2 linked regions of the Caenorhabditis elegans genome follow. The protein of the gene in region 1 purifies or fractionates together with the protein of each later gene. This does not show direct contact. Each region holds a gene or a part of one and is shown on either strand. Other genes may lie near its edges.

The links.
Region 2: the proteins of mec-4 (region 1) and mec-2 purify together in Caenorhabditis elegans (affinity purification with western blotting; 4 studies listed by BioGRID). This does not show direct contact.

What each region holds. Positions count from the first base shown.
Region 1 is NC_003284.9:16,802,809-16,808,742, forward strand, and holds mec-4 (Degenerin mec-4), read right to left. Parts: upstream 4,308-5,934; 5' UTR 4,307-4,307; coding exon 4,124-4,306; intron 3,764-4,123; coding exon 3,508-3,763; intron 3,461-3,507; coding exon 3,098-3,460; intron 3,046-3,097; coding exon 2,934-3,045; intron 2,718-2,933; coding exon 2,557-2,717; intron 2,460-2,556; coding exon 2,311-2,459; intron 2,264-2,310; coding exon 2,106-2,263; intron 2,064-2,105; coding exon 1,975-2,063; intron 1,882-1,974; coding exon 1,709-1,881; intron 1,658-1,708; coding exon 1,562-1,657; intron 1,439-1,561; coding exon 1,324-1,438; intron 1,280-1,323; coding exon 1,219-1,279; intron 1,162-1,218; coding exon 1,033-1,161; intron 985-1,032; coding exon 909-984; intron 770-908; coding exon 584-769; 3' UTR 513-583; downstream 1-512. Other genes in the region: aak-2 (5'-AMP-activated protein kinase catalytic subunit alpha-2), read left to right, coding at 1-42; cas-1 (C-CAP/cofactor C-like domain-containing protein), read right to left, coding at 4,869-4,949, 4,995-5,141, 5,353-5,559, 5,624-5,934.
Region 2 is NC_003284.9:5,573,974-5,579,006, reverse strand, and holds the start of mec-2 (Band 7 domain-containing protein), read right to left. Parts: upstream 3,039-5,033; coding exon 2,817-3,038; intron 2,761-2,816; coding exon 2,661-2,760; intron 1,062-2,660; exon of another isoform or gene 1,007-1,061; intron 1-1,006. UniProt on the Caenorhabditis elegans protein: Subunit of an amiloride-sensitive cation channel (degenerin channel complex) permeable for sodium, potassium, lithium and N-methylglucamine, and required for mechanosensory transduction (touch sensitivity).

The sequences.
Region 1 (5,934 bases):
TTTGAGATTTGCGCCGCATTGATTGGAACACTGGCTCGTTAAGCACTCCTTGATGCCAACAATGCTCTGTGTAAAATTCAACTTTTCTGTCTCAAAATTTATTTCTTCCATTCCTTGTATTAAGCTTGAAACCCCCGTTTCTTATATTGGTTCACTTTGTTGCAGCTTACAGTATCTTTGTATTTTTTTTCTTGACTCTGTTTGGTTTTGCCCCTCCCCCCTTCACCTCCGTAAATGCCACGTATTTTAATTGATGCTATTCTAGTGCCGCTTTCATTTTCAGCCAATTTTGACAAGTAACCATACAAATAATTATTTAAAGTTATGACTTGACTTGTCACCCCCTTTGTTTCTGTGAATAGATTTTCCTTCAGCGAGTGATTGTTTCTGTTTTTTATATGTTTCTCTTCAGTAGTTTTTTTTTCTGTCTTTTAAACTCCCCTTCTCCTACTTCTTTGTGTCTATTGTAAGTAAAATATTAATTGAATAATTTCCTACCCAAAATTATTCAATTATTCTCATGTAAATTTTTATTTTAAGACACAACATTGCAATGGTAACTTTAAAACAAGAAAAAACAAATTCAGAAAGATCCAGACGCAATTTTCTTTGCCTTCTCAGCCTTCTTCTTTTTGTACAGAGAGTAGTTATGTTCGGCACTCATGTAGGCAGTTTCCAAGAAAAGGAACACAAATTCGCAACAGGTAAGGAAGGATATTCCGCACCAAAGACCGAGTTGTCCACCAAAATCGGCTAGCAAGTTGACAAACTAGAAATAGTTGAGATAAATTTTTTGGAATAAAAATAAATTTTTTTTTGCCTGCTCGCTAGTAGTAATTCGGCATTTTTTCGAATTTTTTTGATACATTTCTTTGATACACGTTCTTTGCCTAAATTTTTCAACTCACCCCATAAGCCTCTGATTCAGTGAGCATTTCAAAATTCAACTGCTCGTAGAACACTTCCACCATTGCTCCGTTCTCTCTCAAATAGGCCCAATTTTAAAGTGTGTTTTTTCTTGAATTAACTTACTTATAATGCTTATTACACTCTACCGCTGTACCATTACACGATCCTAGTTGAATTTGCAAAGATAACGACGGCCACTTTGCCGGCGAGTATGTAACGGAGTAGATTGACTGGCGGCATGGTTGTTGGCATCTTAAAATTGAAATTGCAGTTTTTTATTTAAAAAGTATATAACAATTCAAAAGTTACCTGCAACGGAAAGATCCGTGTAGGCCTCCCAAGTCATTCATTCTGGCGTCAAGACATTTTCCTGCAGAAAAAAATATTTATGGAGATGTCAAATTTGAAACTAACTTGCAATAGGGTCTGCTGCATCGCAATGCCGTGCATTTTCAGGGACTGGGAAACGTGGATCTCCACATCTGCACTCTTTCAGCACGAGTTGTTGGAAGCAAGAACGGTAGCAGCCCTGGAATAGTTCCCTCTGTTATCATATTAAGTTCTATATTTAATTGCTATTTTAACAAGAATCACAAAGTTTCTATGACCCATTTTTCCTACTAAACTTGCTTAAATTCTGTTTACTATTCACCTCTACCGAATATTCATAATTGCTGTAAATATAGTCCGATGTTTTGCCATCTGGCACACAATCTCCATAAGGTGCTGGCAAACGTGACATCTTTCGCTGAAAACAACAACACCATTACTCTATAAAAAGAGTTTGAATTTCTAATACCAATCGTAATCCAAATGAGGATACATATCCAGTTGGAGCAGAATAACCGAACGTATCAGGAAATGGGAAATCTTCTTTGTCATGAATAGTCAAACGAACGCCTGTGGCTTCCGTGGTTGGCATATAGTCAGACGCGTTTACATAAACCAGCATACGTAATCCGTACATGGGACCTGGAATCGGAACACGTTTTTTGGTTTATACATAACGGACTTCAAAAATTATTTTAGAAAAAAATATGTGGAAAAAATTTTGAGGAAACTAACCTGCTCGAATACTAGTCAAGTTTACTGTTCGATTATGATTGAAGGTAAAGCACGAACCAAACGCAGGGTCAATATGAGTCAGAAAATCTCTGAATAATTGAATTTATATCATATCTGAAAGCCTAACTAACGCTTCGATATCACACGCTTTTCCGTTAAACGAGCACTTGTGGACAAGTTCCCTTTTTGTAGTACTTAGCCGTTCCCTATCTTGCATTGACAAGGTAGCCATTGCAAACATGATGTTTTCCTTGGCTTTAGTGACAATTGCAACTTCATCTGTCATTCCCTGAAACTTTTCAGTTTCCACTTGATTTATATATTTGTGATTGTTACCTGAAATCCCATAGCTTCAAGGAAGTTTGGATCTTCAGTTGGAGTTCCTCCTTGAAGATATGTCCAAATTTCAATTGGTGGCGTCTTTCCGTTGTATGCTACACAGAATCTAGATGGAGCACAAATACATGGGGATCTATGGCCCTTCGCTGAAAAATTCCGATTTAGAAAAAAACAACAATAAAAATTAAGAAGAGTAAAATCAAACAAGTGAAGCTAGTTTGGCAAAGTGATTGAAAAACCTACCAGTTTTGTTATCTTTGGTGCAGAAAGCATGTTCATTGCAAGTATCACATTCGGTGGTTTCCCAGGTTCCGTTCAGAAAACAGGGCCACGCATCATGAGTTGATCTATCGAAAGCGCAAATACACCGATCGTCAAATCCCGTCGGCTCGTCGAATTTTGTTCTGAACGAGAAAAAAGATTTGTGGAGAACATTTCGAAACGTCTCATTATGAACTTCTGTATTTTGGAACCATATGAATTTCAAATTTATGGAAGGCAAAATTGAGCCTTCTCAAAAATTGGACTTATCAAAATGGACAAACTTTACCGTACCTCAAAATTGTAAGACTAGACTTTTTCAAACACTTTTTTGTCAAAGTTGTTAGACTAGACTTTACCTCTCTGATTGACATTCTTCCATCATATTCATTCCAGTAGTTGCTTCCACATCGTAATTCTCATAATGCTCATTGTCATATTCTTCCATTCCATCCCATTCCTCATCGGCATCTGTGTTCAAAAGAATGTTTTACGCGATGCTCATTTGACATGCAACACTCACCATTAATATTAAATACCTTTTTGGTAGTTGTTTCAAGTAACTCTTCCTCCTTCTCCTCATCCTTATCCTCTTGCTCACTAGACCCTTGGCTTCCACAAAGGCATCTTGCAAATCCTGGCTCAAAAAATGCTCCAGATAAATCACGTTTTCCTCGACGACGTGCCGGTTTTGTGGTGGGTGCAGGGGTGGTGGGTGGTTCGGTGACAACTTCGCGTTCCTCTTCGTGATCTTTGTTTCCTCCGGCTTTTCCCATTGCTCCATCAAATGCTGACAACGTTCGCTTTACTAAATCCACGCTTGTTGCTAAACTTGCTTTGTAAGGATTCAAATTACAAAGCGTAATTGCTGGAAAAGGTGCAGTGTCTGGAAATAAAAAAGCTCAGTAAGGAGCACATGATTTTTCAAACTACCAAATTTCAATTGAATATCGACAATTTTCTCATTCCTGTTGTATTTGTCAAGCACAGATTGAGCATTAAGATAGAGCATTATCATACATCCAAGAAAAAGTACGACCCAAACTGCTCGATAATATACGTTTGGAGCTTCACCAATCATGGGAATTCCGTGAGCAGATGTTTTGTAGCAAAACTCTTTGAAATGCCAGGCTAGACGTTTGTCATAGGGTAGCAATTTTGGATCGAATTCTCCCGTAATAAGTTCACACTGAAATTCGGAAATGTTAGATTACTCAGCTGCGACTTTTTGCAAGTTTTATTTTTTTTACCGTTTATTGAACATTTTAAGCGTTTTGATTATATTGTTCCAAAACAAAAAATCTTGGTTTTTAATTTTGGTACAGTTTTGCAGATAAGCTATCAAAGTAAAATAAACAAGTTGATTCAGCAAAAACTTAGTAGTTATAAAGACAAAATACTTATCGAAGAATTAAGAAAATACGGGCCTTCAAATTTACAGTTGAAAAACTTCAATGTATATAACGAATATTTCAAAAACTGGGAACAAAATACAATTGCATACAAAAATAAAATTTACCGTTGCAATTTGAAAATTACGTAAACTCACTTGTACTTCTGATTCTGTAGAGTTGAAACATTCGCCATAACCAAAATCTTCATAATATTCTCTTTCTGTCACAAATTTAGTCGTCTCTTGTAAGTACGCTAACGGGTCTCCATAAACCTGGGACATGTACTCGGATGGGTCCCGAAGGTGTTGGTAGTTTTTCAGGTTTTGCATCCATGACATTCTATAACTTGATAGCGATAAAAAAAATAGCATTAGCAAACTGATACTCTAAGAAAAATGAAGGAGGGGTAGTCGCTGACGACAATGATCTTGCTCATGTCTTCACATGGTTCCATTACATTATAAATGTATAGAATAGTAGATTGTTTCATACTTGTAGAATGAGAAGAAAGCTGATGGTTTTGAGGCAAGATAAGATCCATGAAAGTGTGTTGAAATGTGCCTGGTGTTTGAGATGTTCTGGTGAGGGTGGAAATGTATTTGAACATTCTGGAATTTTTTTTACACTACATTCGGTGCAATTGTTCTACGATCACAAACCTTCAAACATGAATAACTATTTTTTGGAAGGGATCACTTTTATTCGACGAGACAGTAAAAAGTAATTTTTTCAATAAAAATAGTTGAGCACCAGTCAATGCATATACAAAACAAAATCGGTATTATTTAATAAAGCAAAGTGTGTCTCAATTGCTTATAAAGAATTGTAGACAGGGACAAATAAAAAAGTTCGAGGGGATAGTTCATGAAGTTGAAAAATAAGGTTATGACGTGAGAAGATTTAGCAAATGTCCGAGACGACAGTGACTAGCTTGCCATTGACAAAAGTTGTCTTGAACTGCTCCGGAACCGGGAACTCCGACTGAAAAGGAAATTTAGATTGGGTTCTACAATCCGAAAAACTTACATAATCCCCATCATCATTGGTTTGCACGGAGATGTTCATCTCACTGGATTTGGAAGTGACAATCTCGCATCCTTGAGCCACCTTTGACAAGTACACCTGGCATCCATCAGTCTTCTGGATTGAAAGAGTTGGGAGCTCTCCAAGGGTCTAAAAATTAATAACAATAATAGATTCAGTGAATTTCGAAGCATATAGTTGACTGAACTTTATTAGTAATTTGGAAGATTTTAACGATTAAAACCAAATATTTATTTTCACATTTTTTATTTAGAAACTAATTTTATGTTCAGACGGAAAAAAAATAGTATTGTATTTGAGCTTGTATTGAAGCTTGTACAACTAAAAGTCTTCTGATTACCTGAATTTGCACAGATTGGCAGTTGACAGTTTCGCACTGAGCCACAAGGGCATCAAACACAACAGACGTTTTCTTGCACCCGTCCAAAGTAATAGAATTGGCCTTTCCGTTGACCTTAATCACAGAATTCTCACAACGGTAGATATAGACAGTCTGCTTCTTATCGGCAACATCGAGAACAATGTTTGGATCGTTGACAAAGTACTCCTGTAAATAGTTTTTCATTGATAATGCTTATTGAATATGTTTTTCAAGTTGTTGAAACACTTACCACAATCCATTGTTTTCCGTTTTCCAGCTCCTTGTGTGGTGGCTTCCTTACTGGAGCAGCTGGTTTGGCAGGAGATGAGCCGCCCTGAGAAGCACCAGCGGCTGGCACAACAGCGGTTCCTCGGAGGTTTGGGTTCTTGTGAGTCTGCATATCGGCCGTGACCTTCTTCAGTCTAGAAGTAACTCCCTCTCCCTGGTTCAACGAAGCAAAGAGAGCATCACGGCTTGCCTTGTCAGCATCTACTGGTGGCGGAGCAATGTTGGCGAAGAAGTCGGCTGGTGGTGGTGGAGGTGGTGGGGGTGGTCCTCCTG
Region 2 (5,033 bases), about 11 Mb from region 1:
AAAAATCACCATAATGTTTGGAAGTTGACCAGAAAAATTTTTTCTACATAAAATGTTTTAATCGTGTTTTGATAATTTGATGTATGCTTATTTTGAGGAACTACTGAAAAAAAAAGTTTAGGAAAATATATGAGGAAAACTATTGGCAACTTATGGGGTTAACTGTGAAGCCATTTTCCATTTTGAGAAACAAACGTTTTCTGAGAAAGCATTGCTTTTTTACTGAAATTTCGAAATTTAGAGATTTGCATTTATAACGAATGGCCTAAATTGGTTGTGTTGAGAAAACGAAAAAAGAGCAGGTAGACTTTAAAACCACACCAATGTTGCATATCTGCTTCATGCCTAATTCCATTGTGTGGAATCAAGAAAGAATAGGACGAAAGCACTTTTATGTTTAATTAAAGATTTTTCAGACATAAAGGCCAAAAAAGAGAGAAAATTACGTTTTCTCGATGATTGCACTCAGAGTAAACATTGAACAACTAGAGAAAGCGTAAAAATTTAAGAGGGAATGCTTAAATTCTTCGAACCGAAAATTTTTGTTTAAGAAGACGAAGCTCATAGTGTGACTAACTTCTTCTGACTATGTTTTTGTTGCTTTTTTTGGTTGCAGTGTTCTCTACTGTGATAAACTCTTTCACTCTTCCAAATTACTTTTCTTGTAGAAAACTTTAACAAAACAAAAAATGTGAAAAACATCGTTTCTAAAATGAGATTTTTGTTATGCCTTACTTCGACGACAGGAACAATAAAAAACTTAAAAATAATTTGTCTTTTCTCAGAATTCTTAAAGTCAATCTTTTTGAACGGGTTATTTTTTAATTTTGTGCTAAAGAAAATAAAAACTGAATTTTGTTACAAAACAGCCGCCAAAAATATTTTAAAAATAAAGGCAGACCGAGAACGTGCATAATATTCAAAATGATATGTCAAGAACACCGTTTGTTTTTTATTTATATTTTTTCTTCAAACAACACCCAAACTTTCAGAAAAAGGGAACAGGAAAAAAAGAGTCCCGCGACAAAAACCGACTAAGTTGAAAAACATACAAATAACCGAGGCCCGAAAGAGAGGCTATTTTCCAGAGGCAATATACATCTGGCTTATGAAAGCGAGAAAGAAAAATGAGGTGCGTAAACTACTTTCAGACATAAACTCCTGACAGGGAGGGGTTCGGGAACAGACAGAAGACGAAACAAACAAGTAGAATTCTCATTTACTTAGCGACTGCTTATCTGCTAAATATGTCTATTATTTTTGTCGTCAGTCGGGTACCTCGTGGTGAGCTGGAACGCTGGGAAATACTAAAAACTGAAAACTGCGAAAATATGTGGAAAACACCGGTGCGAGCAGGATAATAAAAGGGAAGTTCACGATAATTTGAAAGAATGACACTTAAAAGGAACGTCTAACCGGTGCTGCCATTTTTTATAAGTAGTAAACAATCGTACTGATATTCAATTACTATTAATGAGTCGGTAAATTTGCTGTTTTCAACCAGATTCGAGAATCGTTGAGTTCAACGTAGTTAATTGTTAATTCACCTTAAGCCTTAAGCTTAAGAAAGTCTGTTGCTATTTTTTTTGTTTTGTAGGAACGACAAACGCGTAATGTTACAACATCTCCAATTTCTTCAATATATAGTTTCTAGTTATTAGTACTGATTTCTTAATTTTCGTTTATAAGATTTAAGAACTCAGTTATATCAAACAACTCAACTTGCTACAAGAAAAAAAACAAAGGAAAACCAGAATTGGAGGTGTTACAACTAGTAATCAGAATTTGTTATTGAATTTCATCATGAGAATTGGCGAAGCACGACGACATGTATACGACAAGAAATAGAGATCAGAAAAAAACAGGATCATTGAAAATTATGAGCCAGCCTGTGTTGAACTTGACTGTTAAAAATAATGAATTTTCATATTATGTAGAAGTCGAAAGGTGAGAAACTTTGCCGTATTCTATGTAGGCGCTTGGGTCTCGCCAAACAAGGGATTTTTAGCATTTTCAAAATGTAGCATGAACTCAGAAATCGCCACTTTTTGACTGTCTATAAAACATTTTCAAAAACTGAAACGTTTTATTATTATATTTGGTTGGTTTTTATTTACCAGTAGTATTTCACAATTCCACTGGCGCATTCAAACGTTTAAATGATAAAGAATATTACCGAAGTATATATAACCAGAAACTTGTGAGACAAATCGGTACCAAGGTTAACTCGAATTACATTTAAGCATTACTTGTCGGCTAACCGCATTTCCTCTATTTGTATTGCACTTCACTGTTTTATTTTGAAAAATTAAATTTAGGTTCATTGTGAGAATACCACTAAATGATTAACTACAGAACAATGAAAATAGAAACAACACAGCATTCGTCATTTGACTTTTTTTCAAAGATATAACAAAGGACAACTAAGATATGACCCAATAAAATACTGTATTTTACATCAGTTTTCAGAAATTTAAATAATTGAATAAGTTGTTAAAGCTTTAACAACAGCGTGTCACAATTTTAAACAATTTCGAACATTTTTTTAGAGTAAAGCAGCATTTTGAACCTTAAAGTTGTCACTTAACAAATGAAAGCACGAGTTTCTACATATGTATGACTAATTCAATCAAATAAGTGACAAAGATTGTAGTTTCTACCTTTTTCCTCTTTTCCATTTCCTTTCTCCACATCCTTTTCAGCTTGCTTTTCTTTTTTCACCGAGTCATCGTCGCTGTTGGCCGAGATGATTGATGTACTCTACAGCGGAAACAAATACGATAATCCGGAAACCAAAAAATTTAATAGACACACACCTCTTCAAGTTGCTGTAAAGTCCTGGTCGCCATATTCTCAACTTCGTCCGATGACGTTGATAAGAGATCATCGTCTTTGGAGCTGGATGATGGGAGCATGGCGCCCTCCTGTTGAATACTAGAGCTCCGTTCGTTGCTAACCAATCGAGTCTCGACCTTGACAGAGCCGTTTGAAGATAGTGAAACGACCGAATTGCGAGCTGATGACATTGTGGCGCTCATAGATTGAATGTGTGGGCATTCAGTCACAGACTACTGGGACACGATTCACGAATGACACATAAACACTCGGCGAATAGTGGGATGTACTCTCGAATGTATGGATTTCGTTGAGCAAGCCGGGCTCACACCCCAAAAAGAAGACGACTCTGCTCCAATTGGTATATGACGTCCCTGATTACAAATGCAAAGAAAACAGTTAGGGGTAACAGTGCAGCGAAGAACTTGCTACTAGCCTATTGTCTCTGGCGTGACTTGTCCATTGTAATGCAAGAGTTTCGAGAACATTTTCGTTTTGGGATCTTGAAGTTGCCAGAAACTTGAATAGTAGGACTTATATGCATATGTTAGGTCGGACTTTAGAATAGTAGTTTCTTGGGAAAAAGGTCAGGCGGGAAAAGGCGAATGGAAACAGTGAACGGGAAACCTGGGAAGCTGAAAATTTTCTTGAAAATCGAAACGCTTCGAAGCCGTAAATTAATTTCAAATGATATAGTTTTAAATAACTATTATTAGAAATACATTTAATCATGAGATACATAATGGTGGCTGAAATAACTCTTCTGTAACTCTTCTGAAACTCTCAACACTCTCTAAATTTGTAATTAAAAGTAGTCCACGTTTCTTATCAGATTCCTCACGTTAACGCAATTTGTTTATGAAAATTCCTAACTTTCAATGTTACCTCTTGGGGAAAACTATGATAATTTTAGGTTGTATGAAATTAAAGAAAATGGGTCAAAGGGACAGAGTGCTGTAAAAAACTCTTTAAAAAATGATTATGCAATTATCCAAATTCTTTATGATTTTTAAATTTGCAACAAAAAATGGTTTTAAAAAATTTGATACATTTTTGGATGATACGACCTACTTTTAAAAATGTGTTCTAAAATATAAATGTATGATTGGATTGAAGGCGGAAAATGGAAAATAAATTTTAAAGTTTAAAAAACCCAAAAATAAACATACAGCTTAATTTCCACAATTTCCAAAACTCAATTCAAAATAAAGATAGAAATAAAATGTATCGAAGAAATGTTTTGTTTTAATTTTAGAGTATAAGTTTGTTTTACTATGATATTTAGCCATAACATTTTAATAACCCCTATTTTCAAAACAAACAACTATTTACGAAACGTATTTTTTTGCATATGGTCCTTTTTTGACAACTGTTATCAAAATTGTCAGTATACCCTTTTTTGTTAGTTCGAATTTTCCATATTTCTTACTTTGTATTATATTTCTTATTCATGAATTCCTCGTGTAAAAAATTAAACTAGACACACAATTTACAACATCTAGTCCTTTACGATTCACTGCATTTTCATTAAATGCTCTTTTTCACTCCTCCTCCTCCTGACTATATCCTCCTCCTTCTGACTTCTTGTTGTATTGTTTATATGTTTCCCACGCCATCGTCAAGAATAACTTTCGAAAAAAGACACAAAGATGGATTATGTGAAACTTGAGATTTTTTCATTATATTTTTAAGTATCATAAAACCATTGGGAGTGTTTTGAGAAACAACTATGACGAATGCACAAAGCCATTTGAACTAGCCGTTTTCATCTTCAGATTGGTTGCGAATTCTCGTTTTTTTTTGTTTTGAACACACTCCAGTTGTTGCTAACTGAGAGTGCGGAAACGTGTCATTCCGGTGTGAAGCGTTTTTTTTGCAAATACACATAACGTATGGAAGATGTATTTCATGTGTGTATGTGTTATGAAAAAAGGATGCACACCAATTGAATCAACCTTGTCGTTGCGGGGGCTTATTGAAAAAGTTGAAAGTACTTGAAGTATCTGACAATTTTGCAAAATGGGAAACATAACGTTAACACTCTTTGGGTGGACGCTTTTAGGTGCTCTCAGGAATTTCGAGCTCTCGTCTCACTTTTCCTAGCCCTCATTAACTCATTCTTCCTTTTCTTCTCAACACACAGATTTCCGACTTTGCCTCGAAAGCGACTTCTATGGCCATCACGCAATCAAGAATAG